5 linked regions of the Daphnia pulex genome follow. The protein of the gene in region 1 purifies or fractionates together with the protein of each later gene. This does not show direct contact. Links are inferred from orthologs where the notes say so. Each region holds a gene or a part of one and is shown in the gene's direction. Other genes may lie near its edges.

Region 1 (5,921 bases):
GATTCGGACCAGTTTCTGCCCGGGTTATGGTAAAAGTAAATACTTCGGCGGTCAGGTCTGTTTTAGTACATGTTAATACTAACAATAACAGTTTATAGCTTGATGATTTTTGTCTTCTTAGTTGGTGGAGGATAAGCCTTGGCACAATATCTCTAAACAGCAATTACAACCATGCTTAGCTGCTGTTCGTGGGCTATTTGATTTTGAAACGGAAAGATTAGGGATTTTCAAGTGTGGATCCGAAATTTCTATTTTTGGTAAACAGAATCTTTGTCTTACGGATGCATTTAACGGCGGAGGATGCCTGAATATTGAAAGTCCTTGCGCTGCAATATTTCCGTAATTCAAATAATTTTATAATTTTGTTATTGCATTTTTCTTTATTTGTTGCACTATTTAAAAAGTTTTCTGCATTATATAGATTATTCTTTTGCAATATCCCTGTCAAAAAGCTAGTGACTATTGCAATTGTCTTCAAAGGGGATTACAAGGAGGAGCTGTCTGTTAACCTAAAATTTACACAATTTAGGACTTCCCACACAACGTACGTTAGTAGGCCTACCTGTTGGTCTTTAAAATGACATAAAATATTGGTATTATTCTTATGTTCGATTCCTAGCAACGTTTCCTGCCCTCTTACTTCTCAGATGAAACAGTTTCCTACAACTTTGAATGGTGATGGATGTCACTGTTCATTTACAATTTCATCGGTGAACATTGATTGTAGATGCGACGAATTGGTAGGGAATCTATTCCGTTCCATGCCCAATTCATCCAGCTGGGAGACGAGGTATGTGTTGCATCAACTACAATCAGTCACTAGTGACAATAATCTTGTGATTATGTGTGATGAAATGTTTTTCAATTCAAGGTTATTTAAAATTTCGGTGAGCGACCAAACCGAAGATTGCATATTTTTGAGAAGTATTGCGCTTGAAAGCCAAGGTGAAACAGAGTGCAAGATCGGTTATTTATGTTGCTTTTAAGTTTTTTTTAACACTGATGTAAGAAGTGAAATTCTGCCAGTCAAGCAGAGTAACACGTAGAATAATGTTCAGCACAGCATTTAACACTGATTCTATCACATATATAAATAGTGCTTAAATAAGAAAATTAATCAATTATTTTTAGATTGCGGACCGTTTAATTAATTTAAGGTATGCATTCTAGACAATGTACGGAAAATCTAAACATATTTTTAAACGCCACAACACATCGCCACCGACAACAACAATCCAGCTAAATCAATAACTGCAATAACGACAAAAAATGATAAAATGTATTCGGATATTGGCTCACTCATTTTGGTGATTTCCGACAGACATCCCTAAAAAAAAGAAGTAGTAAGAGAGGAGAAGACAACGATTATTGTTAACAACTAACCTCGGTATAGATTTTCTGACTGATTTCTTCCCATTTCCATAATTGGATTGTTTGTCCTTTTAGCATATCGTGACAAGCTTCTCTGTGTTCAGGTACACAGCATGAAGTTGTCACGGTTTCTTTTTCAGCTTGGAGATAGGTCAAATTGTAAAAGGCGTGAATTCCGCAGCAATTTAGCTTGCTTCGGATTTCATCCACACGAATTTTTGAAGTTTTATTGTGGTGATAATTAGAAATGTTTTCCTTCAGAGAATTTTCGGTTATTTTGGAAAAGCGAAGAACCATTATTCCTCCCACAATTACGAATCCAAGATTTAGTAATACGAAAACCAGGTACTGAAGGCGAGCAGTGCGATGCAATCATTCATCGTAGCGAAATATTCCATTTAGTCAAAGGAGAAAGAAAATTACTCTAAAATCTTTTTTTGTTTTTTTTTTTTTATACAAACACGAGCTTACGCAAGATATCAGGCATTTTTTCTCGCCAAAGGCACCACACATCCCGAATAGGCTAAGAAATATGAGTAGACCGCTGACGGCAATTGCAACCACGATGTTCATAACCATATATTTGTCGTTTACCACCAAAAATTTCTGTTTGTCTGATCCTTTTGCAAATTCTTGACGTTGTACAAGTGACGACGCCGACAAGGAGATTAATACAATGCCGCTCAACTGCATTTCAAAGAATATGTCAGTATCATATTTTATGAAAAGCAATAACAAACCCAGTCTTCCAAACGCAACATTTAATTCGATAATTTCAACCATCTTCAGTTAAATTCTTTAGTAAACTCACGTTGGAATAATATAACTGTTAATATTTTAACAAATCTACAATTACATTGTAATAGAATAATATGTTTACCAGGATTAACAAGTTGAGGCACAAAAAACTCCATCGTAAAATCTTGTGGGAACGGAACGTAACCTCGTCCGTCATTTCCCTTTGACTGTTTTTCCAGTTACTATTTCAAATCGGAATGAAAGCCCGTGTGATAAGGAAACTTACTGTACCACTAACAGGAAACCCAAAATCCGAGTAAAAGAAAATACATTTGCAAACAAGCAATACAGCCGGAACCCAAACGGTATAAAAAAGTGACGTCTATCATTAATATCGTAATCCATAAAACCACGTTGACTCCACCAGTTGGTCTCACGCTTCGAAGTTTTAACTCCTGAGATGGTCACACGATTAAATAAGTAAATAACCAGAATAACCACTGCGGATCGCCTACTGTTCTCTAGGTTAAAGCCCAGCAGTGCGCAGTCAAAATTGTACGCGCGTGTATCCAGGTCGGATGTATATCACTCCAAATAACCTTTTCTTTTGCTTATTTCAATAAATTCTCTGCTTTAACAGCTCTAATTAATTTTCTTATCCTAATTTTCAAATTAGATAGGAATCGTTATGGCGTCTACTGCGCGTATTCATCATAGATTAAAATCTATTTTTATTGGATGGTAGATGGCGGTGAAAAGGTCTTTCCACAATCCGCACTTTACTTTACTTTCATCCGCATTTTATAGTTTATTTATTAAAAGCGTTTTTGTTGTTTTCCGCTTTAGTGTCAGAATATCTGACGTTAATTGGAATTGTGCAATTACGTTTTCGTATCTATTTTATGTGATAGTGTTGCTTTTTTAAATTCTTTCTCGATCCTACAGCACCCAATAGTTTCTTTTTTAGAGAAGAAAATGAGTGACAGAGAACACAAAGATCAGGGGAATAAGTTGTTTTTAGCTCGACGTTTCGATGAAGCAATTTCATGCTATTCCAAAGCCATTGTAAATTTCTTTAATTAAATTAAGCATAAATTATTTTGTTTTGCAACGCGTAAATCAAAGTAATTGTAATTGTTTTCTTTAGCTTAAAAATGGTTCTGTTCCACAATACTACACAAATAGAGCTCTCTGCTCTCTCAAGCTTGGCCGTTGGGATGCAGTAGTGCAAGATTGCAAAAGTGCTTTAGAGTTAGACAACACTTGGGTGAAAGGTTTTTAGTATAAATTCTTCAAAATACTCTGAAAATGCTATATATTGCTATTATGTTTAGGGCATTTCTTTCTGGGCCAAGCTTTAATGGAAAAAGAATGCTATGAGGAAGCAATAAAACATCTTCAAAGGGGTACTCATTTCCCCAACTTAACATAAATTTTGAACACATAAAATCTGATTATTGAAATTTGCTTGTTATTAGCCCGTGATCTTTCGATGGATCAGAAACTTAATTTTGGGGATGATATTACCAGTCAGTTAAGACTGGCAAAGAAGCATCATTTTACAAAGCAGGAGGAGAAAAGAATTTCACAAGAAATCGAACTACAGGTAGTCTGTTAATAACATTCTCTTTGTCCACTCCACTTTGCAAAAAATTATGATTCATTTGAAACTTGGATTTTATTTTGATAGATGTATATAAATAGGCTCATTCGAGAGGATCGAGATCGACAAATCGATTTGGTTAGTCAAGACAAAGAATACAGTTCAGTGGAAAACGAAATTTCGAACATAGAGAACGTCACCGTGAGCATATCTAGAGTATTTTTCTTGTTTCGTTAGTAGACTAATAATACTTGATTAAAATCGGTAGGATCGCTACCTGGCTGAATTGAATGACCTTTTCGCAACCGTCGATGACCGAAGAATGGTACTATAAATTATTCAACTGTGTGTTTCAGTACGTCTTATACCATTAAGAAATTGTCTTTGTAATTGTGTCGGTTAGAAACGTGAAGTTCCAGACTATTTATGTGGCAAAATCTCTTTCGAGATCATGAGAGATCCAGTCATCACTCCTTCAGGAATAACCTACGATAGGAAAGACATCGAAGAACATTTGCAGGTAAGTGAATTCAAAATTGCCTAGTAGATATTAGCCAAAAGATTTGTTTTTACGCAGCGAGTTGGACATTTTGACCCTGTGACGCGAGTTAAATTGACCAAAGACCAATTGATTCCAAATTTCTCCATGAAAGAAGTTGTCGACTCGTACCTGACCGAAAACGAATGGGCTCAGCACTACTAACCACTTTTTTAAGGATCATTCATTGATTTTGATTCTCTTAAAAACTCCGCCGCATTGTATTAAATGAAATCGATATATATTATGATTTGAATCGCCGAGCCCCAGTTGTGATGTTTCCTATCGGGTTGGATGATAATCAGGAAGTAAATGTTGCTATACAGTCTTTCGCTATTGATTGCACATTGCTGTTGTACTTCAATAGACGATGCTGGAAATTTTATATATACCTGATTATGAACCTCCTATTAAATTTGATTTTATTGGGATCAGAGTTCGCCTTGAGCAGATTCTACACCTGTAGGATTGCTCCAATCTTTCAATAGGTTATATTCTTTAGACTAAATTATCGTCTCCTCTGACAATTGTTTGTGGGTGATTGATTTTATTACTTTAGCCAAAGGCAATTGATGATTTGCAGCCGAACTCTATTGGTACGTTTCCTTTCATTAAGCACTTAATTGAGCTTGGCGTGGTTCGTTGTGGATGTGGCCAAGGACAATTGTATCAGAGTTGGTTAAGTTGGTCATTAATCAGGGGGGTCGACTTGAACGGACGGTACTATCGATCCTGGTACAGCACGGGACTGGACCGATATTCACTTAAATTATAATAAACGTCCCATGGGTAAATTGTGTTTGCCACGTCGTCAACTACAGTTATTATCTTATCAGCACTCTAGAGAGAAGTCTGTTGTGTATCTTGCAGTGTGCATACAAGGGCGGAAACGTTACTGTTCCTGTTCCTAGGTCTCAAGTTGAAGTTTTTCAATTTAATGCATAGCCTAGCACTTGTTGTTGCATCGATTTCTTAACTTTTTTTTTCCCCCTCTTCGCGCTTCGACTGTCCTATAAAGGATCGAGCTGACGAATCGAACGGCGTTGGGTGTGCCGTATAGACGACGGAAACGATGGACAAGTCCCGCCCACTCTCATAAAAGTTGGTTGGCAAATAATGCGGGACATTGAAGCCTTTTTAATGTGTCATCTTTTTCATTTTCTCCTTTGATCGCTCGGTTGCTTTTATCGCTCTTGCACGGGGCTTTTATCGCGGTCGACTTGTGCCCCGAATGGCGGCCGGTATCGGACGTTACGTTATATTAGAAGTCAACACAACAACACTTATATGCGGCGTATGTGTCACAACGAGAGTGCCTTTTTGCTACATGGCCCACCGCCAACACGTTTCATTTCCGTTCAGTCTGTCAATAACGATCAGTCAAACAAATAAGACACAACTTTCATTTAGATTGTACCCGGGATCGGCGAGGGTGCCAACGACTTGGCGTTTGTAATTGATTGCCTAGCTCGTATGGAAAATATACGTAGTATAACATTTTATAGGGACTTTTTTAATCCATCGGTGATGGCGGTTGGCCCAAACTTGAAAGCATTTAAAACTGAGTGGAGGTCGAAATTTGATAAACCGTGAAATGGAAACGGGTGCCGTCGACTGGCCATCGTCAAATTGTTTAGTTAATTTAGATTTGTTGGTGTATAGAGACAGTTG
Region 2 (6,530 bases), on another chromosome or scaffold:
ACTTGACGCGTCACTAACTGGGAAAAACTGAAAGATGAACATAAAAGAAAAGAGGAAGGGGAGAGACAAAATATTTTCTCTCTCCCCACACACAACCACACACACCCTTCGGAAACAACCCCAGGTTCGAAATATATGCTGGGGCTTGTTCCCCTCACTGTGAAATAAAAAACCCTCAACCATTCAAATTTCTCAGTGTGTGTGTGTATGGGGCTCCTCAATGAACAAAACCTAAAAATGGACGTTGACTGGAAATCAAAACACACAGACGCTGGGAATATATATGACCAACACGTTTTGACCCCCCCTTTCGATGCATCCTCCTATACACACACACACACACAGACATAAGAGAGTGAAATATTGATTGCAATCTCACGCTGGTGTTGTGTGTGTGCGGTTTGATAGTGACGCGGGCGGAAGGTCCCCCCAAAAACCAATTCGGTCAAAAAATACAAAAATCCCCCAAGAAAACAACCGGCATGATGATTATTACATGCAATCAATTGTCTCTATGACCGGATGGTTACTCAACTTATACTCACTCAACAGGTTACAACAATATTTTAAGAAAGCACATGTGTCATTCCACACACGCCATTTTTGTTGGCGAAATTTTCTCTCCCCCCCCCCATCCCACAAGAAATGATGATTGCATACCTGCATGTGCCGAGTTTGAATAGATCCGCAGAGATGAGGTTAGAGGTATGTGGTAGTAGTGAGTAAGTGGTAAGTCTTAAATTGTGCAATAATCCAAGACACGAGACTCGGCTTGCTTTTGGCCAGATTCCAGTCGACACACAGACACTGCAACACACACCACACACACACCACACGTCCAACACGTAACACACTCGTTGGATATATGTCCCCACCAAAGTTTATGCTTGCGCCAAAAAATAAAAAAGAGACTCGGCAGCACAGACACACCGAGAATTCAATTTTCGAAAAAAAGAAAGCCAATCGATTGAGTCATTTGAACGTTTTTTTGTGGTGGGGAGTAATGGCGATTTTTTCCAAGACTAATTATTCGTCGAAATTGAGGGAGAAACACACACGACACCAGTGAGAGAGAGAGATCGATTTCGTCGGGGATTTGGTGTGTTTGTGTGTGTGATTGACGAAGAAGAGGGGGAAAAAAAATGATTTTGTTCGGAGAAGTTTCAGAGATACGTCTCGTTCTCGTTCAGCAGCAACTTCGACTGAACACAATTGCCACATTGGCTTGGAGAGTCCCCCCAGCCCCAGCCGTTCGGAGCTGTTAGCCGTCGGCACCTTGATACTCGTAGTCAAGCACACGTCAAAATGTGTGTCTGCTTTTTCAGTTGGGGTGGGGGGGATATCTATTTTATTTTACGTGGCGCTACACCACGTAATTCAAACGTTGGAAAATATTCGACTGAAATTCGATAGAAACGTCCAAGTTGATGAATATACATTTATTTTTAAGAGAGAAAGCTCAATAATGACGACTTTCCGTATTAACAGGAGAGAGACGGATTTGACCACATTTCACTTGAAAAGCCAACGGAAAAGCCAAGCGAAAAAAGAAAAGAAAGAAAAAAGAGAGAGGGAGAGACTCGGGCTCTTCCCCGACAGACAGCGCCACAGCGGCCACGGCTGCAGACGCCACCCGTTTTCTTTCCTCTCTCTTTCGCCTCTCTCCTTTCATCCTGATTTCCTCCCTTCCCTCCGCTTTCGTTTACAGTTTCGGCCGCGCGTCTTACTTGAAAATAATTTTTTTTTGTCTTCTTCTCTCTTTCTAGATTTTTCGTGTGTTGGATTTTCATTTTATTGGGACACATTTTTTTTTTGTTTTCTATTTTCTTTTGACCTCTCAACTGTCATCTAGCGGCCAATGCGACCAACGATATACTAACGTCACATTTCTATAACTTAAATGCTATTTTCTCAATGCTAAACGCGCATAATAATTAGCTACGAGACAACATCTTGATGCAAACACGTAATAATAATACGTAAGGCAATAGGAGATGAAATTATTATGCCATTAACTGATGAAAATCTGCTCGTAAAAAGCCTATGCTTAATAATAAATCTACCAAGGCCGCACTGCAGGTCACAATGACTAACGGTCGTCGAGACGTCGACACACACAAAAAAGGAGGAAGGGGAAAAAAAAGTTACTTTCTACCAAAAACTGGCAATGCTGTATGTTTACCTCGGCGAAAAGAAAAACAAACCTTCCGTCCCGCTGATTTGTCGATTTGACAGTTGCTCTGGTAACGTTAGTATTGGCAAAGTAATAAAAAACCTGTTGGGTCGATTTCCGCAGCTTGGCAAGAAGGTAAAAAGGAAATAGTATTAAATCAGTCAACGAGGAGAACATGGGGCGCAAAGTTGTAGTCGCCGTTTGCTGCTTGAACCAGTGGGCTTTGGATTTCGACGGAAATCTGTCACGCATCATCGCCAGCATCCAAGAAGCAAAAGTACAAGGTGCTAGTTATCGCACAGGACCCGAATTAGAAGTCACAGGATACAGCTGTGAAGATCATTTTTATGAAGCTGACACTCTTCTACACAGCTGGGAGGTTAGCGTGTCACTTTTCTGATTTATGTTTACTGCGGTTTGTTTCTGGGAAATCTAGAAAATGATCTTTGATCCTCAAATAGGTTTTGGCTGAACTATTAGCCAGTCCAGTATGCAAAAATATTTTAGTTGATGTTGGCATGCCGGTTATGCACAAGAGTGTCACTTACAATTGCAGAGTTGCTTTTTTCAATGGGTAAGCAATTGTTTTATTGTTATTATGCTCTTCTTATAAACAGTACCCCCCTTTTCGCAGAAAAATCTTGCTGATTCGTCCTAAATTGAAACTCTGTGATGATGGCAATTACAGAGAATCAAGATGGTTCACTGCCTGGACAAAAGTATAAAATTTATTTTACACCAGTTTTTGGGATCTGTGGCCTTAATTAAATGTGAATTATTTTGTAAACAGCTTTACCAAACAGAGGATTACATATTGCCAGAGTTTATAAGAGAGCTTACAGGGCAAAAATCTGTAGTTTTTGGAGATGCAGTCCTGGAAACCTTGGATACCACCATAGGTTTTGAAATTTGTGAAGAATTGTGGAATCCCTCCAGGTACAGTTGTACTTGCAAATGAATATTATTATTGTTTGTTGTTTTAATGACCAGTAAAACCCAATATGCACACTATTTGGTAGTACTCACATTTCTCTCGGTTTGGACGGCGTTGAATTCATCGTCAACGGGTCGGGTTCCTACTTTGAGTTGCGCAAGGCCAACGTTGCCGTCGATCTTGTCCTACAAGCAACATTAAAGTCCGGCGGTTGCTACTTATTCTCAAATTTAAGAGGCTGCGATGGACAGCGTATCATGTTTAATGGAGGATCGTGTATCGCACTTAACGGACAAACAATCGCTAGAACGCGTCAATTCTCCTTAGAAGAAGTGGTAATTTTCGTCACAATATGTATCACTTGGATATTTTTAAAATCATTTCTTGCGATGGTTTATTCTTTAGGAAGTTGCTGTAGCCACTGTCGACTTGGATGACATACGAACTTACCGCAATTTAGTCCGTTCTCGAAACATCGCCGCTGCCCAGAGTCCATCGTATCGTCGTATTCCGGTCGATTTCAGTCTGAGCGAGTCTTCCTGCTACGCTATGAGAGCTTCCAGTACCCCATTCAAATGGCAGTACCACAGTCCTGAAGAGGAGATTGCTTATGGTCCTGCCGGCTGGCTCTGGGACTATCTCAGGTTGGTTTAAATTCATTTCAAACAACAGGATGACATTTTTTTTTAAACCGAACATCAAATTACTTGAAGGCGGTCTGGCCAGGGTGGATTTTTCTTACCTCTGAGTGGAGGTGTCGATTCAAGTTCCTCGGCTGTTTTAGTTTACTCCATGTGTCGAATGGTGGTAACTTCTGTACAAAATGGCGATAGTCACGCCATCGACGATGTCCGGCGTATTGTTGGCGATCCCAGTTACATCCCGGACGATCCTCGTGAACTGTGCAACCGGATTTTCATCACCTGTTACATGGGCAGCGCCAATTCATCGGCGGAGACACGACAGCGGGCAAAGGACTTGTCTGACCAGCTGGGAAGGTAAACGACCTTTTTTTAATTGGCCAACTTGACACCACAAACAAAAAAACAGACACTAAATTATTTTTCCTTATCACCCAATAAGCTATCATTTGACCCTGGCTATCGACGCTGTTGTCTCGGCCGCTCTCAACATTTTCACAGTCGTCACGGGGCTCGTACCAAAGTTCAGAGTCGATGGCGGCAGTTTGCGAGAAAACCTTGCCCTGCAAAACGTCCAGGCCCGAATGAGGATGGTGTTGAGCTACTTGCTGGCCCAGTTGATGTTGTGGGCCAGGGGCAGATCGGGTGGTTTGTTGGTTCTTGGTTCTGCCAATGTCGACGAATCTTTGCGTGGCTACCTCACCAAATACGATTGCTCCAGTGCCGATGTTAATCCCATCGGCGGAATCTCCAAAGGGGATTTGAAGCGATTCCTATCATACGCCCGGAATGAATATTGTCTAACTTCCCTGGACACTATTCTGACAGCTCCGCCGACTGCCGAATTGGAGCCCTTGCAAGAAGGTCGTCTAGTTCAGACGGACGAAGAAGACATGGGTTTAACTTACGCCGAGCTGGGTGACTTGGGGCGACTTCGTAAACAGGCAGCCTGTGGGCCTTACACCACTTTCTGTCGACTAATTCAAAGCTGGAGGGGAGCAGGAACACCAGCTGAAATCGCACACAAAGTATACAATGTCTCTTTTATAAAAAGAAAAAAAATGGAAATTTAGTACCAAAAGAGTTTCAATTTCAAGGTCAAACATTTTTATCGCTGCTACGCCATCAACCGACATAAAATGACGGTGATTACGCCTTCCGTCCACGCCGAGACGTACAGCCCCGATGATAACCGCTTCGACCATAGGCCCTTCCTTTACAACGCCAAGTGGGGATGGCAGTTTCGCGCAATTGACGCTCATGTAAGTATATATCGAGCCGTTTCATGCCCGACAGCTATACTACTACTATGTAAGCTTGTGAATTATTCATTTAGGCTTTTAATGGAATTACCATGTAGAATGTAGAAGAATCCCGGTTCGCCTCGAGAATCTTTATCCTTCCTTTTTTTATTTTTTTTTATACTGCTACCAAAGTCAGGGTGAGGAGGGGGGGGGGGAGCTGAAAGGAGGAAGGGGAGGTTTTATATGCTAAGGCTGTTTGATCTGTGAAAACTGGAGAGGTGCCGGCGTATTGATCGGTCGGGAAAGCCATGGCTTACGCATGTCATTTTTAGATATGTTCCACCTCCTTTTTTTTGTTGTCTTTTTTTCTAGTTGGAGCACGTCAACAAGATGGTCGACACTGATGATCGTAAACTAGATAATGCGCACATGCAATCAGGTAATTCTATTGCATTTTAGTTAATGGCGAAGAAGAAAAGGAAATCACCAAAACTCACAATAACTGCTAATTGTGCGGATCAACGGGGAGCTCCTGTGTGACCGTCTAGATTCAAATTAATTAATAAGCCTTTAGATAAAAGGAGATTATCAGCATAATATGGGCTCAACAAAGCCGTCCATGTAATTAATTATTAGACTGTAATAATAATACCGTCAAATAATACACTCCCAGATACATCATTTATTCTCTCCCATTTTCTTGAATGATTTCGTCATTTTCTGTTTTCTCGTCTTCCGCTGCTGCTGCTGCTGTTGATAATGCGACGACTTCTTGGTTCTTGTCCGCTTGATCGATACTTTGAGATACTTCCGCAACGGCGGCATCGCCATTCGTCGGTGTAGGACTAGGTTTTTCAGTAGTCGCAGTGGCAGTCTGCGCAATGTCCGTAGCTTGTTGTAAATAGGCTGCAGCCAATTGATCCAGACCGGCGCTTGTAGCCAGGTCAGCCGACAAAACCAGAGACAACGGATCTGATCGTCGCGCCAACGTGCGAGCCGCTTCAGCTACCTCGCCATTGGCCAGGAAACATTTTACTGCCAATTCGAGATTACCATCTAAAACAGCTTTGCTGGCCCAACGAGAAAGACTCTCTTGAACTTGAGAACTTTCGTCGGGGTACTGGCAACGTGTAAGAGCCACGGCTTCACGATGTAACTGCTGACTGGAAAACATTTCAATTGCCTGACTCTTCTGGCCGGAAATGAGAGTATAAGACACGGCTTTCCTGACATCTCCTTCTGCCATCAGCTGCTGGGCGTACAGATGGGCCATTTCCCTCCAAAACCTATCGGATCAATACTCCAATTAATGATCGTCGAGTCTCATCTTGTGATTTAAAAAATGGCCAACTTACTCCAAAGAGACTTGAGGAGCCAAACTAACAAGCCAATCATTAAGCTGCCTTTTCTTTACAGCTTCTCGTAGCATCGATTCGACATCTCCTTGCCAGATTCTCAAATGAGCTGCTAGATCTGAATTAGAACCTTCTTGATGATGGTCGATCTCCTCCTGGAGCATTTGAACTGTGGAATCCCGG
Region 3 (6,663 bases), on another chromosome or scaffold:
TCTATTCGCTTTGATGACCTTTTTATTTCTTAAATTTTATTTTGGCTTTTTGTTTGTTTTTTTATATCGATTTGTTTGTGCCGGAACACACACAGACACGAAACACACAAGACACACACAACAAAAACACTTGAGAGAAATGATCAACTCAAATTGCCCCCCTCAATTATTTTTTAAATTTTTTGTCATCATTTTTTCGGCTATTTCTTTTTGGTTTTCTTTTTCTTTTTAATGGAATGCCTTTTCTTAATATATGCCCGTCTTAATGACAAGTGACGGAAACAACACGGTGATCCATTCATAGATCAAATGGGGGACAGAAAGGGGTTGATGCTTTTGTTGTTTAATGTCGCATGTTTTGATGGTTTGATTGGACTTTGAATGGGATTTAAACTGGGACATTTAAAACAAAATAAAAGAACAAAACTCCTAAATTCCCTCCCCAAAAACCGCCCGGCTTGCAAAAACAACCGACTCATCTGACACCCAAATTGATAGGAGGATCGGCCAGCAATTCGCTGGGCCATCAACTGGTGGCCGCTGGCCCCACTGCCACAGCTGCCGCCACACAACCGTCCCATTCCAACAGCCAACAACAACAGCAGCAGCACCAACACCACCACCAGAGTTTAGTCAACAATCGCGGGACAGCTGGAACAGCAGCAGCCACGGCGACGTCGGCCGGAATCAACGGATTGGGGACGTCGGCAGCCGCTGCGGCAGCCGCCGCCGCCGCCAATCTCGAAGCCCTGGCCAACGCCTACACGGCCGGCATCCAGCAGTTCACTACAGGTGCCGCCCAGCCCCTTCTCCAAACAAAAACCCCCAATTCCGCAATTCCGCAATTCCGCAAAATGAGATGATCATTTCTCCAATGTGGAAAAAAAGCGCCAAAATTTAAAAAATTGAAATAATTTCATAAGGAAAAGTTACACACGAAACAACAACATAAAAATCATCCGGCACTCTTCGTCACTTTGCTTCTTTTTCACCTGTTTTTCTTCCACTTCCGGCATTCCGGCATTCCTTTTTCGTTTCAAAAATTGATTTATTTGTTGGTTTGTTTTTTTAGCTTTCCCCAATTTCACTAGCGGCCAGGTGGGGATGAATGGCGCCAACGGCGGGAGTGTCAGTCCCCTGGGTGGCAGCGGCAGCGTGACGGGTAGCGGATTGCGCCAGCAGGAAGGGCCGGAAGGATCCAACCTGTTCATCTACCACCTGCCGCAAGAGTTTGGCGACACGGACCTCTGTCAAGCCTTTTCGCCCTTTGGCAACATCCTATCAGCCAAAGTCTTTATCGACAAGCAGACCAATTTGTCAAAGTGTTTCGGTATTTCCATTTAATTTGACATGACATTATATTTTAATCGGAAAATTTTGATGAATTCTATTTCTCTTATTTTAGGTTTCGTGTCGTACGACAACCCGATGAGCTCCCAGGCGGCCATCCAAGCCATGAACGGCTTTCAAATCGGCACCAAACGGCTCAAAGTCCAGCTGAAACGTTCCAAAGACGCCTCGAAACCTTATTAAAAAAAAAGAAACAGAAAAACTCTCGGGGGGAGAGAAATAAATATTTTGAAATTCGAAAAAAAAATTAAAAAAAGAAAAAAATATTTTTTTGTTGATGTCACTGAACGCAACAAGCCACCGCCCCATTACAAAAAAAAAGAAACGTACAATTTTCAAATGACTGGACAAACACGCCTTGCCCCTTCCCCCTTTCTTGGTAGTAAGTTGGGAATTTTAAATTTTTTTTGTTTTCATTTTATTTTTTAAAAATAATTATTATTATTCAATTTGAAATGCGACCAAATAACCTAGTCACATTTATGGAAAAAAGTGCAAAGCCTATAAACATATCATGTGATTGGTTCTTCTTAAATTTCTTTATTTCACAAATATTTCACAAATAGAGAAAACAAATTGATTTAAACCTTTTTTTTTGAATTCTTCTCGATTCATTTTTCCCGCTCAAATTCAAATGATTGAAATTTTCTAGTCTATCTCAGGGTTTTGTCGTTGACTACATGTTTTAGCTGTAACGTTTTTGTCTCTCGTCTCTCGTATCGAATGTTGTTTTTGATTTGATTTTCTCTTCTTCTTCTAGGTTTCCTTGTGTCCGTGTGTCCGTGTGTGCACCACAACCAACCAACCAACCAACCACAAATTTAAAAAAAAACAATTTCAAACCTCCTCTCGTTTTCACGTTGTTTGTCAAACCTTTTTTTCTTTTTTTCATCGTGTATCTTACTCCCTGCGTGTCTCGTACGTGTGTTTTTGTCGTCCCCCATATAGACACAACAATTGTTTGGCGTCTCTGTCGTCGGAGAAGCGGACGAATATTTCATCCGCTTCTTTTCTTTTATTTGTTTTTCATTTACACGTGTCTTGTTCTTCTTTAATTGTTATGTTGAATCATAGTATATTACCAAATTATTGTAGAGAGATTACAAAAAGAAAGCTATTTCATGTTTGCCTCCCTTTTAAAAAAGAAAAGAAGAATTCAGCTAGGCCAGATGCCAAAATGTCGTTTGTTTGTTTCTTCAATTTTTATTTTTAGTTTTTCCATTTTTTGGATTATGTTTGATTATGTTCCGTGTCCCATTTGTTTGTGTGTCTTTTGATTGTTTTAGTTTTTTTCGATGTTGATTCGACATGGATGTAGTGATCAGCTAGTCTCACCCACACACACACGTATAGGTTATATATAATTATATTAATTTCTAATTTTTAAAAGTGACATTAATTCAATTCGAAAATACGAACGTGTATACCTCCCCCACCACCACCCACCATCGACTCTTCATTTCTGTTCGAACCGTTTGACAACAACAACAACAACACGCAAGATGTTGGAAACAAGGTGTGGCGCCGTGACACCTACATGTGCCTTTTTGTTTTGTTTTTTGTTCTTTTTGATCGAAATTTCCTCGGCAGTGACACGTACAGACGCACGCCCTAGTCATGCAACAAGAACACACACACACACGTCCGACGGCCAATTTACCACAAGTATCAAATGATCCCAAATGTCAGTGTGACGTGCAGATTTTTCGCAAGGACCGGCAAACATTTTTTGGCAACCAGGTGGACGTTATCCCCCAAAAAAGGACTTGACAAGCACCTAAACAAAAACTTGTATATCTCTAATTGTGTTTTTCTTCTTTCTTTTAATTCGATTGTCTTTTGTTCAAGTTCCAAGTGAAAATTTTTTGTTGTGTTGCAAAAAGTGATGTGACGGAGTTGTTTGCTGTTGTTGTTGTTGTTGTTGTCTGGTGGGCACGTGAGATCTCGTCGTTTCATATTTTTCTTCACACCCCATTTCCCACGTTTACCTTCGTTTGAGAAAAAACAACTACGGTTGGCGATTTTTGAAGCGTCAGACATTTTTCGATACTTAAAGAAAAACTAAAACAATTATGTTGCAAGACGCCAGCAAGAGAAATTCGCCCGTGTCTATTTTTTGAAAGAAACACACACAAACTCGTGACCTAATGAGCACTTGTTGATGGTAGTCATGTTTGTAGTATTCATTTTTCAGTTCTAATTAGACAAGTTCCTGCGAGAGAGAAGAAGAAGAAGAGAAATTTGAATTTCGGGTGGGATCGACGATGCCAAATTTTATTTTTGTTTTATTTGTACGACTTTTTTTTTTGTTTCATTTTTTTCACGTTTGCACCGCAAATTTAGACAAAAATTTGATGTTACAAATTGCGATTTTTTTTTGGAAATATTTGGTGTGGAATACTTTAAACGTGTTTCAGCATGTCGCAGAGCGATTTCATTTGCCCGTTTTTTATGATGATTTCCCCCCTCCCGAATGATGGCAGCCAAGTGAAACAGTTAATACAATATTTTAAATTAGCGTCTTTAAAATAAATGTCGATTTCAATTAAATTAAAAAACAAAAGTAGGTGTGCGAAAATCGTTTTTAAGAAAAGAAATCTGGCAACGCAGCCACTCAGAAGACCGACTACAAAAATGGCAAAACGTGTTTCGTGCGGTCTCGATTTCGTTTCCCCTGCCGATATTACAAATGCTCTACAAATCGCCACAGAATCCAAGTATTAATTTGATTCCCGAAATTAATTTCACAAGAAATTGCCCCAGTCACTTGTTGCTAACAGCGTAATACTTTTGATTTCGTCAGGTATGATTTCGCTGCACTGCCAATCGCCCATCCGAGACACAAAAGAGATTTCTCCGGAAATTCTCAAGCTCGACGTCTCTCAGCTTTCACTCGAGCTGATCTCATTCTGAACAGCTCAGGTATAAAAGATAAAAAAAGTATAAATGTGTGCCGAGTGATCCCCTAATTGAAAGTTGAATGATCTCATTTCAAGACTGGAGCACGCTCATTGTTGGAAAGATTTCTCCACACATTGATTTGGATCATGAAGACAAGTTGCTGCGGCAAGAATCTGAGAAAATGCTGGAGCAAGAGTTGTCCTTTGCTGGACATCTGGGTCTCCCCGCTGTCCTTGTCCCCTTGAGAAAGAACAACACAAATTTTGCCAGATTTATGCACAACAAAGTGTTGTCTTCACCGATGAATCAGGTATTTCATTACCAATATTTTCTTTTTGCAGACGATTCAATTATCACTTTGTGCCTAGGCCAGGTACCATGTTTGGCTCCACCTCCCCATGATTTCCCCGAAAATTGAGGCTAGTCTGTTTGAAAGGGATGTGGATGAAGAAGAAGTTGATGATACTTGGCATTGGTGGAATAACTTTCGCATTACTGCAAACTTTGAGAAGAAACTCTCACTGGCCCTGGAACTCACAGCTGATTTGCCTGATGCTGAAGACATTGATCGTTGGCTGGGAGAGCCAATCAAGTGTCTTGTGGTTCCTACCCATTTATTCATGACCAACAAGAAAGGGTTTCCAGTTCTTCCCAAATCCCACCAAGTGGCCATACGTCAGTTTTTACGCCAGAAGACGCAAATTCTGATCACTGGAGCTCAGCGCCACCAACATTACAAGCATTATCAACAATATATTGAGCATTTGTGGCAAGTAAGGGGAAACAACAATCGCTTACTTTCCTTTTCAATCATCATATTGTGTTTTCTTGTAGGTTGGGTATGAATCAGATCCAGTTATGCGATTTGCACAAGGTTACGAAGACTTTCTCCAATTTCCTCTCCAACCTTTGATGGATAATCTCGAGTCTCAGACCTACGAAGTATTTGAAAAGGATCCCGTGAAATACACCGAATACCAGCGGGCGATGTATCTGGCCATCCTGGATAAAGTCCCGTTGGAAGAAAAGGACACGAAAGTCATGTAAGTTTTGTTTTTTGTTTCTTTTCTACCGAGATCTCCGTCGTAATTGAATTATTTTTGAATAACAGAACATTGATGGTTGTCGGTGCCGGTCGAGGTCCTTTAGTTCGTGCTGCCTTAACTGCCGCAGAGAAAGCTGATCGTCGCATTCGTTTGTACGCAGTGGAGAAGAATCCCAACGCCATAGTCACGTAATGTTTTGCCGCAGAAATGTTATCACTCGACTCGTATTAATCAAGTCATTTTCATTCAATAGTTTGCAGTGTCTAGCCGACGAAGAGTGGGGGGATCGAGTGACTATCGTTTCTTGTGATATGCGCGACTGGGATGCACCTGAAAAGGCAGACATCCTCGTCTCGGAATTGCTCGGATCGTTTGGAGATAACGAGCTATCGCCAGAGTGTCTGGACGGCGCCCAAAAATTCTTGAAAGGTGCCCGTGACATTGTCGTTATTTGGTGGAATACTTTGTTGCTCATTTTTATTTCATTCTTAGATGACGGGATCAGCATTCCTTCGAGCTACACTTCATTTCTGGGACCAATCCAGTCTTCCAAATTGTTCAATGAAGTGCGATCCTGTCGGGAGCGTGACAAGCCTTACTTCACTTCTTTCGAGATGTCGTACGTCGTTCACTTTCGCAACAGGACAGAACTGGCTGATCCGCAGGCCTTGTTTACATTTACTCATCCGAATAGAGGTCAGGAAAAAATTGTTTTAAAAAGCTCTGAATTTCTGCTTTAATCCTTGACTTGACTTTGACAGAAATGCCAATTGACAACAGCCGTTATGAAGTGCGGAAGTTTCCTATTAAATGCGATGCTATGCTCCACGGGTTTGCCGGCTATTTTGAAACGGTTCTCTACAAAGATGTGATGCTCTCCATCAACCCTGCAACACACTCGCCTGGAATGTTCAGTTGGTTTCCAGTTCTTTTCCCCATCCAGAATCCCATCAGTCTGAAGAAGGTAAATTCAACTGTCTCTCCCGATATCTAGACAACATTTTAAATTTTTCTTAATTTTACAGGGAGACGTTCTCGAGATTCATTTTTGGCGTTGCGTCAACCGCACCCACGTCTGGTACGAATGGTGCGTGACGAAACCTCATGGCAGTGCCATTCACAATCCGTTGGGTCGCTCGCACAATATTGGCCTCTAAATGTAACTTAATAACTAAGCATTGTTATAATCATGATTCCACTCGTGTCTAGTTCTTCCCTTGTTCATCATGGGACTGAATACAAGGATTGTTCAAGTGTTAACATTTTTGCAATTTTTTTAGAACTCAGTGGCCAAGGAAAAAGGTTTCTAACAAGGCTCAACTGTGTTCAAATCATGAAATGAATAAGAATTGATCATATTTTTGAA
Region 4 (6,424 bases), about 990 kb from region 1:
ATTTCCCTCAAAAACAATTTAATTGATGCGTGCAAAAGAAAAAAGCCAGTTAAAAATCTTTCTGCTGCAGCGATTGACGTGATGCGCGCCCAGTGCGTTGATATAATCCCGCGTGACTGCCATATGCACTGATCCGCTCATTACGCACGCCTTATCATGGAAAGAGATATAAAGGGGAGGAGGGGGGATTTATTAACTAACATTGGTTCGATGACGCAACCCACTTCATCCGGCCACTGTTTAAAATAACGTAAGATGAGCGAGAGCCAATGGTTATATGGACAAGGCAACATCGGACGTCCTAAGAAAAAAACAAAAATACAGTCCCCTCCATAAGTATGGGATCACCCCGCGCCGTTCCATAAGGCGGCGTGTATTTTTCATATGGGTTTTTCGGTTGGCAAAAATCGAAAAAATGACATAAATTCACCAAACTTGGGATTTATGTCATATTACGTCTTTTCTATTGTCTGAATTTTTTTCAGATTTTTTCCCCTATTTTTTATGCCTAGAAAAGTGGCGCACAAAGTATCAGATCACTCCGACGCCGCCCGTGTTGTCTTATGGCGCAAATGGGCTTTTCATATTGCTTTTTATATATTTAATTTTCTAGAAGGAATTTTTATTTTCAAACCGTGTATACAATACCCTTTCGTCAATTAACTGTCAGTTTTTCATGATGATCTGAATTATTTTCGAATTTTCCCAGATTTATTCGTTTCCCGAGTTTCTGAAATAAGAGACTGCAGAAGACTTCATTTGCGGTTTACAACCTCTATCAGCTGGCGTAGGCCGGAAAATTAGTTTCGTTTCTATACACCACTGGCGCTCTTCTTCCTTTTTTACTTAAGGGGCGTATATAAACGACACTAATTTTCCGGCCTACGCCAGCTGATAGAGGTTGTAAACCATAAATGAAGTCTTCTGCAGTCTCTTATTTCAGAAACTCGGGAAACGAATAAATCTGGGAAAATTCGAAAATAATTCAGATCATCATGAAAAACTGACAGTTAATTGACGAAAGGGTATTGTATACACGGTTTGAAAATAAAAATTCCTTCTAGAAAATTAAATATATAAAAAGCAATATGAAAAGCCCATTTGCGCCATAAGACAACACGGGCGGCGTCGGAGTGATCCGATACTTTGTGTGCCAATTTTCTAGGCATAAAAAATAGGGGAAAAAATCTGAAAAAAATTCAGACCATAGAAAAGACGTAATATGACATAAATCTTAAGTTTAGTGAATTTATGTTATTTTTTCGATTTTTGCCAACCGAAAAACCCATATGAAAAATACACGCCGCCTTATGGAACGGCGTGGGGTGATCCCATACTTATGGAGGGGACTGTATGTGCTGTCATAATGGCTTTTTTGCAGGATCAACGTTTTAAGAAAAACTGCACGGAAGCATTTCCCAGTAGTTCTCCTCCTTCAGGACCGCCCCTACCGCCAAGTAAGGCAAAGCTTCCGGAGCTCGCCGAAAGGAGCAGCGCAGTCGAATTCGCCGTCTGAGGAGGGGGAGGGGGCAAAATGTCGACTGCTGGACTTTACACAGAGTGGCCCATCTCCTTATCTCTGCGTAGTCCTGCCAATCCCAGATTATTTCAGTGGTTTAAAACCTTGCCCACGCTAAACTTTTAAAATTTTAGATTCAATTTGAAATGCTTATGTAGCTGGGGCTTTTCTTTAGTCTGAAAATTTGTTTTTAATCTTTTCGTATCTTTATAATTTGGAGCGTCCGCCGTCCGGAAGCGAATAAAATTGTGTTATAACCTATTTAAGTTATTACTGTTAAATCTAAAGCTGAAATATTAATATTAAAAAATCAGTAACATTATTTAAAGCATACTGATATCGTTAGTTCGTTACTCTTTGAAAAGGATATTTGAAAAATTCCTAACTCGCAAAGAAACGGCTTCGCTCTGTCATGTTATTATGGGCGTTAAGGGGCGGGGCCTATTCTAGAGTGTCAGATGTCTTTCTGAATTTCAGCAGAAGAAAAATAATAACTGTGAGCAGTCATACCGAAAAAAGTAACCCAAATTTTTCATTAAATTGCCCCGTTGGCTTGTATATTTTGTCAGCCCAACGGGTTGCGAAGGAAATCTCCCCTATAACTTGAAAAATGGGAACAGTCATTCCAGAAAATCAAGAGATATCTAGTTTTTTAGTGACAAAGCTTTCAAACTGGCGAGGAAAGTATAAACGAATCTTTACGATCGGCACTCACGCTATTACTACTTACAATCCGAATAATTTAGAAGTGACCAATCAATGGCCATACGCTGAAGTCATTGGAATTAAAGCCGTCGAAAAATCAGAGTTCATTCTCAACATTATTAGAAAGAAGAAACGAGATTCTATGAGATTCACTTGTGATCATCGTTCAGAATTTTTATTTGAATTTCTACGTGTCAAGTTGAATTGTGATCAGCAGCGTAAAGAGTGCTGTAAGTATGATGCTTACAAGCATCATTGGTCAGGTATTAAACTTCCAGTGATTTTGGAAGTCAATCCGTATGGAGTTCTTCAGCTTGAACCAACCACAAAACAACAACTTGCAGTCTATCCCTTTTATGAAATTGAAGGCATTGCACTAATAGAAGATAGTCCACAAGCAATTGTTTTTAGAAGAGTAGGTTTTAGTAGGCTTCATATTTTTGAAATTCCTGGACGCAGTGATATCCTCTCAAAAATCCAAGAAACCGCACTTGCCAATGTTGTCATTCCAATTAAGCAACTGAAATCATTCAATACTTTAAATCAAGCAGTTTTGGAGAGGCTTGGTAACTATAGCTCAGATGAGCATTTAACTTCTCTTATTGAATTTCCCGTCCACAAAATCACTCCTCGCCATCCTGATGCTGTCCGGAGACTACTGTGTTTATCAGAAACTTGCCTTCTCGAACGAGATCCCGATACCTACAGGTAATAAGGAATAAAACGAGTTAAATGCTCAAACAACTTGACAATTAATTTAAATTTTGTTTTTAGCGTTTGCACTCTCAAGCCGTTGGAAGATGTTTTTGCCATGGTCCGTAATCCGGATGATCAACAAAGCTTCTCTGTTGAATTTCTTCGTGGAGGAACACGTAGCTACCGCGCCACGGAGCGGGATGCTCTCTTGGCCACTTTATTAGATGGTGTAAGGTCATCAGGCAATCGAGATATTCACGTTCGATCAACGTTAACGAATAGAGCTCTGAGGCTTACTCCTTTACGTCAACCACCAGATGAAGAGGCAAGTAAAATATCTAAACGAAAGTTTATTCAGTTTTTTATTCTCTTAATTTTTGTTTTTAGATTGAGTCGATGCATTTGCGTTGGCTGGTCCAACCTCCACCTTCCGTTCCTCTTTCATTGGCTACGCTCCGCTTTAATTGTAGTGTAAACTATGGTGGACTTCAATTTGCTAATACCCAAGAAGGTATTTTCTTTACGGAAAACAAAGAAAAATCCATTCATGCTGCCCTTTCAGCTTTGGTGGAAGAGGATTCACCAGGAAATCAGGTTTGTTAACTAAATTAATTTCTCGTCGATGTCTACTGTTGTTCATGTATTTTTATTGTTTTTCTAGGATAAAGCTGATACTGAACAAGAATTTTTGGCGTTACGTCGCTTAGTGGCGTCCAGAGCAGGCTTCGCCGCATTCACTCATTTGGTTGGGTTTCGAGAAAAACTTGGGCTTAAAGTAGTGAGAGCTTTGCAGCGGGACCGTGACCATGTTACCCAAGCGGCTATCGACGTCCTTTGTGCGCTAATGGAGCCCATGTATGATGAGAGCGATTTACGTCAAGAACAACTCAATAAAAGCTCCCTGCTTTCTTCACCTAAATTTCTTGAAGGTACTTGTATAGCTCAGTTGAACAATTTAAAAAATCTTATTTCACGCTGTTGTATGAATAGGTATTTTGGAGCGGTGGACGCAGCATGTGCTTCGTGGAACTGGGGCATTAGTGGTGATATCTGTTCTAGATTTTCTCACGTTTGCTCTTTGTGCACCGTATAGCGAAACAACTGATGGAGCTCATTTTGACGCTCTGTTGGCTATTATCGCAAAACGGGGCAAGGAACTCTTCCGTCTTTTACAACACCCATCTCTTTCAGTCGTTAAAGGTTTGAATCTACTTTACCTCGTACATGATAGCTGCAATTTAAATAACTCGTCATTTTTATTTTCACGCTTCCAGGAGCAGGATTGCTTATGAAAGCTGTAGTTGAAGAGGGGGACGAAACCTTGGCTGCTCGAATGCAACATTTGGCCCTCTCCGAAGCTGCCTTGCCACGCCACTTACTAACAGCATTTTACACAAAGAAACCAGCGGGTCTGAAATTAATATATGTTTCTCCTTATTTGAACACTTTCGAAATATTTATAATTATTATACAGGATCTGTTGGAGATGGCCGTCTTTTACTTAACCGCCAACTGTCACGGAAGTTGGTTGCATTATGGACATCCAACAACCCAGAAGCGTTGAAACTTTTCCAAAGAATCCTTCCGGCAGGACTTTTAAGTTTTTTAGAATCCACTGAAAGTGTCCCCGAAACAGCCGATGAAGAATTAGGCGAGGGCGTTCCAAACCGTGATAATCTAAAAGTAACACCATTACATTTAAGAACTATATTAGAATCAATTTCCTAACTTGGTATATAATAAACTTTCACACAGATTGCTAGCGATGAGTACGGCCGCAAGCAGAATCCTCAATGGCAGAAGTCAGTAGAGCGCCATGTTAAGACAGCACACAAGATGTTGGCCAAACATGTGGAAGGAGCTTTACAGCACTGGAGATCTAGAGATCATGCAACCAGACGTCAAGAAAAACCAAAAGAACGCCCTGTTGTCCTTAGAAGAAGAAGGCAACGAGTAAAAGCAGAGGGAAATTGGGAACTATTGTGTTACCAGTTCTGGAAAGAACACGCCCTTCCCAACTTGATATGGAACGCTAAAACGAGAGAAGAACTTAGAGAAGCATTGGAAAATCAGCTTCGAACATGCATTCAAGATCGAGAACTATCTGGTAATTTCATACAAAATATTTTACTCTTATTGTCTTTATTTTTATTGCCGATTTTTATGATTCGATAGGAATGGAATCCATCGCTTGGAACCATTCGGAATTTGAAGTAAGCTATCCGTCCCTAGTGGATGAGGTCCGAGTTGGTGACTACTATTTAAGAGTCTTACTGCAACATAACCAACCTACGGGATGCCTAGCAATTGACATTAAAGATCCTGTTGCTTTTTTTGATGAGCTCTATCGCCGTTTCTTAACTGCTCCCAAACCAGCATTACGGTTAGAACATTTTATCATTTATTCGTAACTCGATATACAAATGATTTTTCTTTTATCAGCTTACCCTGCTTACAAGCTATGGCACTGGTTTACGGCCGTCATCGGGACGTCATCGGGTCTTTTCCAGATACGGGTTACCTAGTAACACTGTTGGAGCGTTGTATCGACTACGAAGAACGTGACCGGTTGGTCTGCCTTTTGGCACAGTTGGTCAACGAGCCACTCAACGTCAAGGGCCTGCTCGACGCTGATGGCCTTCGCTATCTTATTGATCTTCTTCCGTTGGCGCACCTTCACACTCGTCGAGCTGTGCTAGTCAGTCAGAGTAACGTGATTGAAGCTGGAAACGACATGCAGCAACCCGGAGAAAAAGAGAAAGAATGGTACTATGGTAATGCAGCGGGGGAGCGCCTAGGGCCCTTCAGCTTTGTCGAAATGAAAGAGTTGTTCAAAAAGGTTTGTGATTTGTCAAATCTATACAGGAAAATATCTTAAACTTTTTGTTGCTATTTCTAGGGTAATTTGAATGCAAAAAGTCGTTGCTGGGCGCAAGGACTGGATGGCTGGAAATCGCTACAAAACGTGGCCGTATTTAAATGGAGTATTTTGGCTACGGGTTCGCCTTTACTCAACGAAAGCGATTTGGCTGCTTTGATTCTCAATCTTCTTATTCGCATCTGCGAATACTTTCCTAGTCGTGATAACGAAGGATCTGTAATTCGGCCCCTACCAAGGGTAAAGCGGATTCTGAGTGATGCGCTTTCTTTGCCACATGTGGTCCAGTTACTTTTAACATTCGATCCTATCTTGGTTGAAAAAGTTGCCACTCTTCTCAGCCTCGTAATGAGCGACAATCCAATACTCTCTCGCCTATTCAACAGCGGAGTTTTCTTCTTTGTCATGATGTATACAGGTCTGTTTTCTTAAAAATGTTCAACATTCTGCCGAATTTCTTAACAAAGCTACTTTAACCTTTAAAGGCTCCAATGTTCTCCCCATTGCAAAGTTCTTGAAGATGACCCATACGACCCAAGCACTCAGCTTAGAGGATAGTACGGATCAGCTACCACGGAGCGTACTCTCACCTCTTTTACCGGAAGCTATGATTCGCTATTTGGATA
Region 5 (5,915 bases), on another chromosome or scaffold:
AATTTGATAGACCGTGTTTACGTCAAATTTGATAGTCGAGGGTATAACCCAATGAACCGTGAGTAATAACACATGTGACTACCAACGTGGGTGGTGTCGAATGACAACACGGCGGATGCTGTGAATTTCCGATTTGCCTCCGTCCATTAGTAGATCTGCTGATGTGCTGCTGTGAATAGGCGAAAGCCAATTATAAATGCACCAATCTTGCACACCCATCCGGCGTTGACTGCACACACACAAAAGAGCACGAGGCAGATCCCTATTTCGCCACGTGCGCATATGGGCACCCTATTAGCCCATCAGATTGCCCAGCAGTTAGCGATATCATTATTATTAGATATTCTTTCGCTTCGCCAAAATCATTCCAAACAACAACATTTTACCAATACGGCGAATAATTCCATGTCAATGCGCATTTCGATTATATCGATCCAGTGTGTGTTACATACCGGCGTCACAAGTCGTTGATTGATATCCAGAATGGGCGACGCATTCGTCGCTCTATTACTATTACGTCTTCGTCGTCTGGAATCAATTATTTGGCTTCATCCGCTTCGTATTATATTATAGTTGTACTACGTACGCCCGTCCTAAATCAAGAAAAGCCAATTGCTTTTGTCCTTCTACAAGTTGCCGGGCATTGAAGGCGTTCACGCCATTGTCAAAGTGTAATTGAAAAATAAATAGACGACGTTATAATACTCGTATCGTTTGATATCGTTTTCGCCAAATGCGCAGTTGGCCGTCAACGACACCTAATATACCAACCAATCGATAACTTAACGGCCAGACACAATACCTGCTCCTACACTAGTTTCAAACAGAGGGAATTAAATGATGTATAAACGGATATTCGCAGGGGGGGAAACAGCCCCGTTTTGTTGGCATGGCCACCAGGAGGAAGATGAAGATTATACAACAGGTGCTGGGCAATGTTCATGTCGCTCCACGTGAGTTTTACGTCAATATTTGAATAAGCAACATCTGTAGTGCTGGGCGGTGGGTACAGCAGCCAGCCAACATGCACCAGTCCCGCTATAGCCTCACGGCGGAGCACGCGGATCGGCACGCGGACATGAATGCTTCCAGCGGCTGCAGCAGTGGGAGAGAACTCGATTGCCGTCGCCCAGAAATATTCAAACAGCCAACACCAGATACACACACACTCACTCAGTACAATTTTCCTGGTAGTTCAGATGCACGTTGAATGTCACGTCAAGCACATTCTTTCTTCGAACGATAAATAAGTTAGTTTTAATTTGGAATAACTAAACAACTACCGAGCAATCAGAAATCGATACCATTTCCATTTTGGAAATCATCTAATTGATCAATGATCATTGAATTAGCTTCACATTTGACACAAATTCAATTGTGACATTCGTTATAAGTTGCAGACGACCACTGGGAATTGAATATTCAAATATTTCTTTGCATGTAGATGATGGCGTGCATCACGCGGCCGCAAAAGCTCTTCTGGGAAACTACCCGCTTCGCTTTGAAAAGGAAAAAGCTTTGGGAGTGACAGATCACATGGCAAGAGATTCTAGTGTCCCCACTTTTCGATCGATAAAATCCAGGCCAACCGGACTGGCAGATGGAAACATGACGAGAAACGTCTTCTTTCACAGGTAAAAAAGATTTTGTTTAGGAAATCAATTCAGCATGGTCTGTTTTAATTGAGGATAACACTTGTTGACATTTGTTAAAAAAAAAAACACACAGAGATGAATGAATACAGTATTTAGAAATGTTATCAATTGTTAGCAGCAGCAGATGTGGCCACCTTCTGCTGAATCATTTTGCCCCATCCTCCTCTGCCACCATCAAAGTCAGTTCGGTATTCATCTCTCACCTGCAAAACAGAAATCCATTAGTTGAGAACAATAAGTTTGAGCTGACGAAATGCTGACCTGTCCTCCAGTTTTGCCTCTGCCATATTGCCTTCCTTCAATGAAGCCAGCATCCCAGTCAGTTCTCACAATTCTGTCATCCAGTCTTGTCCCATTCACAAACCTGATGGCATTTTCTGAATCATTCCTCAGGTAAAACCTTGAAAGATAATTAGAAATAATTAAACACAATTTTGTTATTGGATTTGGTTGCAATGACTTACTCTACAAAACAAAATCCACAAGGGGTCCTAGTAAACTTGTCCAATCCCATGATGATTCTCTTGACATCGCCACATTTCCCAAACAATTCATGGATCTAAAATATTTGAAAAGATGAAATCAAATGGAACCAATTGTTGACTTGGAAGTATTTAACCTGTTCTTCAGTTGTGTAAAAGGACAAGTTTCCAACATACAGGGTGCAAGATTGACTCAACAGACGCTCCTGCTCTACCCGGGAACCCTGAAAGATGGAAATCAGTTATTTTGGCTTGAAATATCAAAATATTTTTAATTATTAAGGTATGCATTTCCATTTAAACATTAATTGCCTCAAAACTGTATATTAAGTTACATTTTCAATTCTGCTATCAACTCATGAGGCTTACTTTGAAATGTTGGTCTCGGTATGTGCTTGGAACCGCCATTTCTACGAATTATTTCGGGAGAACCAATCACACCGTTCACCCCAGTGTCTTCCGAATTAAGTGTCCTTGTATTCAGCCAATCAACCGGCTAAACTTTATGCGTTTTAAATTACTAAAATTGGTGTGGTTTTTTTCTAAAAAAAAGTGTGCGTTGACACAACAAACCTGACGCGAGTGACTTTCGAAAAGATGCTTATGGCGGCCGCTAGGTTACGTCACTTGCTAGAAACCCATTCCGGCGTTAAACTACAATTAAAAACCAAATAAAAATATGACACACTTTCGCAGATTTTTTCAATAATTTTTTAAAATCTCAATGAATTTTATCCAAATCTTAATTAACTTAACAGGTTTGTTTTGTAAATGTCAAAATTTTTTAAGTTATGCGAGTCATGCCTAGATGGCTCTTTTTATTCCAGACTCTTCTTGATTTTGCTAGTAAACAGTTTCATTGACGTCTGCTTGCCCCATGCGTTCACGGTTTAACTTGCGTACTGCGTCTTATTCTTCATAAATATATAACAAGTTGTTGTTGAGATCCTTAGCAAAACAATGGAACCCCCACGACAACCAAGAGATATGCAAGGACTTTTAAGATTTGCCATCGAAGGCACCGCAGCTGAAGATCGTACCACAACCACATCGATGAGTGAAGAAAGGAGACGCTGGTTAGAAGAAGCTCTAAGAGGATTGTCAGTCGACGTTGTAGCCGAAATATCAAAATCGTTAAATATCCTCAATCCAGATCGAGTCGAAAGTCCTGAAGAAGATCCCCAGGAGATGGAGGAAGCATTGGAAATGATTACTGACTTTGCCGATTCCATGGACACGGCTAATGGTATGAGATATCTTTTTTTATTGATTGAATAAAACATTGACACTTGTTTCGCTTGTTTCTCCAGACTTTCACAAGATAGGAGGATTTTTCATCCTCATCCCCTGTTTGAATTCTCCCCACGATGGAGTTCGTTGGAGGTGCTGTCAGTTGATTGGCACCCTCACCCAGAACAACCCATACTGCCAACAGCATGTGCTCAACGAAGACCTATTGCCAATTTTGCTTAAAATGCTGGAAAACGATGACTGTGAAGAGGCGAGAATCAAAGCCCTGTACGCCATTTCATGTAATGAGCAGATTTACAACTCACACTAAGGGAATTCAGTTAACAATTGATTGATTATAGGTTTGACAAGAGAATGTGCAGAAGCCCAGGATGCATTTGTGCATTGTGATGGTTTCTCGTCTTTACTGAGAGCACTGCAATCATCACTCGGGAAACTGAAAATCAAGGCTTCATTCTTGTTGACTTGTTTATGCAATGAGAATCCATCCTTCAAAGGTTTTATTCACATTCATAAGTTTCTCCATTTGTACTCTAACCAATACCCTGTTTACTAGATACTTTATGTAATATGGGATTTGTGGAGCAGTTTGTGGCTCTGCTTCAACGAGATCACGACTCGACTCACGAACATCTACTGGCCGCCTTGCTGGCACTTACCCAGAGCCACCCCCCATCGATCGAGGAGTGCCGTAGATCAGAGTTTCTCTTTCGTGAATTTCTCGACAACCGCATCGAATTAATCGGAGATCGCGACGAATGTCTGGTAATAATTATTAGTCAATACTTGAAAATGAAATCGAATTTTAAACTTTGAATTTTCATTTGATAGGAGGAAGCCGAGTATTGCCGTACTTTGTTGTCGGTGATTTTCAAGGAAGACATTGTCGAAGACAGGTGAAGTTATTGGCATTCGATTGCTGGCAATAGAAAGAGAATTTAAAAAGCAAACAAAGAGGCTCATGATATGGAGGCGCAATACACACACCGACGTCCTTTTGATAATCTTTACGTTTTTGTTTGTTTACTCTCTCGTGAACCATCGAAGCGTGAACGGTGTTCTCTAATTTTGTTATCGTAATCTACCAATCCTATTGATCCTCAAGATTGTTGTGGTCATTACAATCCTAAAGAATACATATGTATTAACAAGAAGGTCTCTGCTGAAAAAGTTTGTAGGTAACAGGCAAAATTTAATTGTTTTAAATGCATCAGTTAAAAATAAGAAAAGAAATTAAAGCGATTGTGAAATGTCCTCCTCCAACATCAATCCAGTAAAATGAGTAAAGTGGCGATAATCGTCGAATAAAATCACTCCCTTTGTCGGAAGCATTCGCCTTTTACGACGGGCTGCAGTACCGTCGCCAATCAACGGAGGCAACAAGGAATCTATTTGCAACCAGATTTGATCACCAGGTAATAGATTGAGCGTCGAATGCAACGTCACGGGAGTGAATTGCCCTGCAACGGTGTTTTGGTCTTCAACGAAACCTCTTCCAATAAGATTTCCATTCAAATACAAATCCACGCCTAAATAGAGCAGAGAGGAAAATGTTGGGAATTCGGCCAATCCTGTGAACGAAAAGTAATAAGTTCCAGCTCTAGGAGCGGTGAAAACCCCAGTCGTCAAATTAATAGCGTTCCCGATGTTGACAAGTGCCGTATTAAAGGGGATGGAAACGTTGACTTTGGAGAAACGTTGACTTCTCTGCACGTAAAAGTAGGTGGGCACTGATTTGACGTCGGCGTACCCGATCCACTTCTGGAATCCTGCGGTTAATAATTTCAACAATTAACTGGATCACTATGCACTTAGCAGAGTATTGTTTGTAAATTACCTGGATCCTCGGGGAGTTTTGTAAAGTCACAGTAAACACTTTCCATCATTGCAGATCCCACGACGGAGTAGACGCCATTGAGGGAGTGTCCAATACGCCAGAGATCCTCGCAGGATTTTGGCATTCCAGAGATGGTCACCTATCCAGAACATTGGAATCGGCCGAGTGTGTGGACTCCGGATGAAATTTCAAAATGTGTTCGTCCAAAGTTCAAACCGGTGACGGGCAAGAGTTTCTTATCGGTGATAAAACCTGTAAAATGACATAAAGTCCATTGAAGCTATCTATTTTTAACAAATGAGTTTCCAACTTATCACCTGCGTCAGTCAGTTGCGTAGGTGAAATCGAGTCGCAGTTGCATTTGGCGGTGCCATCAATGCAATTTTGATCGATACTACACTGACAGCTATGGACATCCGTCGCACTTCCGGCCCAATAATAATGCGGGTTTCCATTTCTGTCGTTCCACCAGGCATAAGGGACGTTGTTGAATTCGAAGGGGGCGTAGTTGCAGTCGTACTGTGATAACATCAGGAAATTAATTTTAACGTTTATTCGATGTATCTAATTGTTGTAGAGGAGAATTTGACTTACTACAATCGATTGGTGGCATTCGACTGATAATTCAGCCAACGCTGCCAATTGTTTACTGGTTGCGTTGTACCTTATTGCCCTGGAATAACATCCAGG

What was found.
Region 2: the proteins of E3 ubiquitin-protein ligase CHIP-like (region 1) and glutamine-dependent NAD(+) synthetase-like purify together in Homo sapiens (co-immunoprecipitation; 3 studies listed by BioGRID and IntAct, with this or other methods). This does not show direct contact. The link is inferred for Daphnia pulex from reciprocal best matches to the Homo sapiens genes STUB1 and NADSYN1.
Region 3: the proteins of E3 ubiquitin-protein ligase CHIP-like (region 1) and protein arginine N-methyltransferase 5-like purify together in Homo sapiens (affinity purification with western blotting; 3 studies listed by BioGRID and IntAct, with this or other methods). This does not show direct contact. The link is inferred for Daphnia pulex from reciprocal best matches to the Homo sapiens genes STUB1 and PRMT5.
Region 4: the proteins of E3 ubiquitin-protein ligase CHIP-like (region 1) and dnaJ homolog subfamily C member 13-like purify together in Homo sapiens (affinity purification with mass spectrometry; 3 studies listed by BioGRID and IntAct, with this or other methods). This does not show direct contact. The link is inferred for Daphnia pulex from reciprocal best matches to the Homo sapiens genes STUB1 and DNAJC13.
Region 5: the proteins of E3 ubiquitin-protein ligase CHIP-like (region 1) and hsp70-binding protein 1-like purify together in Homo sapiens (affinity purification with western blotting; 4 studies listed by BioGRID and IntAct, with this or other methods). This does not show direct contact. The link is inferred for Daphnia pulex from reciprocal best matches to the Homo sapiens genes STUB1 and HSPBP1.

Annotation. Positions count from the first base shown.
Region 1 is NC_060019.1:9,014,124-9,020,044, reverse strand, and holds E3 ubiquitin-protein ligase CHIP-like, read left to right. Parts: upstream 1-2,888; 5' UTR 2,889-3,084; coding exon 3,085-3,174; intron 3,175-3,256; coding exon 3,257-3,383; intron 3,384-3,443; coding exon 3,444-3,515; intron 3,516-3,587; coding exon 3,588-3,715; intron 3,716-3,799; coding exon 3,800-3,913; intron 3,914-3,980; coding exon 3,981-4,037; intron 4,038-4,115; coding exon 4,116-4,232; intron 4,233-4,289; coding exon 4,290-4,415; 3' UTR 4,416-4,635; downstream 4,636-5,921. Other genes in the region: cytosolic endo-beta-N-acetylglucosaminidase 1-like, read left to right, coding at 1-55, 122-339, 422-544, 620-790, 872-986; CD82 antigen-like, read right to left, coding at 1,199-1,327, 1,384-1,719, 1,843-2,058, 2,252-2,326. UniProt on the Homo sapiens protein: E3 ubiquitin-protein ligase which targets misfolded chaperone substrates towards proteasomal degradation.
Region 2 is NC_060024.1:12,901,643-12,908,172, reverse strand, and holds glutamine-dependent NAD(+) synthetase-like, read left to right. Parts: upstream 1-2,175; 5' UTR 2,176-2,348; coding exon 2,349-2,552; intron 2,553-2,634; coding exon 2,635-2,747; intron 2,748-2,807; coding exon 2,808-2,892; intron 2,893-2,963; coding exon 2,964-3,109; intron 3,110-3,192; coding exon 3,193-3,442; intron 3,443-3,512; coding exon 3,513-3,751; intron 3,752-3,820; coding exon 3,821-4,105; intron 4,106-4,190; coding exon 4,191-4,776; intron 4,777-4,845; coding exon 4,846-5,010; intron 5,011-5,364; coding exon 5,365-5,451; 3' UTR 5,452-5,673; downstream 5,674-6,530. Other genes in the region: gem-associated protein 5-like, read right to left, coding at 5,675-6,278, 6,348-6,530. UniProt on the Homo sapiens protein: Catalyzes the final step of the nicotinamide adenine dinucleotide (NAD) de novo synthesis pathway, the ATP-dependent amidation of deamido-NAD using L-glutamine as a nitrogen source.
Region 3 is NC_060023.1:12,077,057-12,083,719, reverse strand, and holds protein arginine N-methyltransferase 5-like, read left to right. Parts: upstream 1-2,296; 5' UTR 2,297-3,882; coding exon 3,883-4,067; intron 4,068-4,153; coding exon 4,154-4,272; intron 4,273-4,346; coding exon 4,347-4,561; intron 4,562-4,619; coding exon 4,620-5,024; intron 5,025-5,085; coding exon 5,086-5,294; intron 5,295-5,362; coding exon 5,363-5,485; intron 5,486-5,550; coding exon 5,551-5,726; coding exon of another isoform or gene 5,727-5,789; coding exon 5,790-5,993; intron 5,994-6,058; coding exon 6,059-6,261; intron 6,262-6,322; coding exon 6,323-6,454; 3' UTR 6,455-6,557; downstream 6,558-6,663. Other genes in the region: CUGBP Elav-like family member 1, read left to right, coding at 499-792, 1,073-1,330, 1,406-1,533. UniProt on the Homo sapiens protein: Arginine methyltransferase that can both catalyze the formation of omega-N monomethylarginine (MMA) and symmetrical dimethylarginine (sDMA), with a preference for the formation of MMA.
Region 4 is NC_060019.1:8,024,306-8,030,729, forward strand, and holds the start of dnaJ homolog subfamily C member 13-like, read left to right. Parts: upstream 1-1,966; 5' UTR 1,967-2,129; coding exon 2,130-2,932; intron 2,933-2,998; coding exon 2,999-3,245; intron 3,246-3,307; coding exon 3,308-3,514; intron 3,515-3,581; coding exon 3,582-3,849; intron 3,850-3,910; coding exon 3,911-4,120; intron 4,121-4,194; coding exon 4,195-4,329; intron 4,330-4,394; coding exon 4,395-4,603; intron 4,604-4,675; coding exon 4,676-5,027; intron 5,028-5,095; coding exon 5,096-5,303; intron 5,304-5,362; coding exon 5,363-5,759; intron 5,760-5,819; coding exon 5,820-6,216; intron 6,217-6,283; coding exon 6,284-6,424.
Region 5 is NC_060026.1:16,274,732-16,280,646, reverse strand, and holds hsp70-binding protein 1-like, read left to right. Parts: upstream 1-2,962; 5' UTR 2,963-3,097; coding exon 3,098-3,383; intron 3,384-3,447; coding exon 3,448-3,669; intron 3,670-3,729; coding exon 3,730-3,885; intron 3,886-3,944; coding exon 3,945-4,153; intron 4,154-4,219; coding exon 4,220-4,288; 3' UTR 4,289-4,392; downstream 4,393-5,915. Other genes in the region: nuclear cap-binding protein subunit 2-like, read right to left, coding at 1,760-1,858, 1,917-2,055, 2,120-2,214, 2,275-2,361, 2,507-2,545; uncharacterized protein LOC124205359, read right to left, coding at 5,365-5,477, 5,543-5,744, 5,820-5,915. UniProt on the Homo sapiens protein: Inhibits HSPA1A chaperone activity by changing the conformation of the ATP-binding domain of HSPA1A and interfering with ATP binding. Interferes with ubiquitination mediated by STUB1 and inhibits chaperone-assisted degradation of immature CFTR.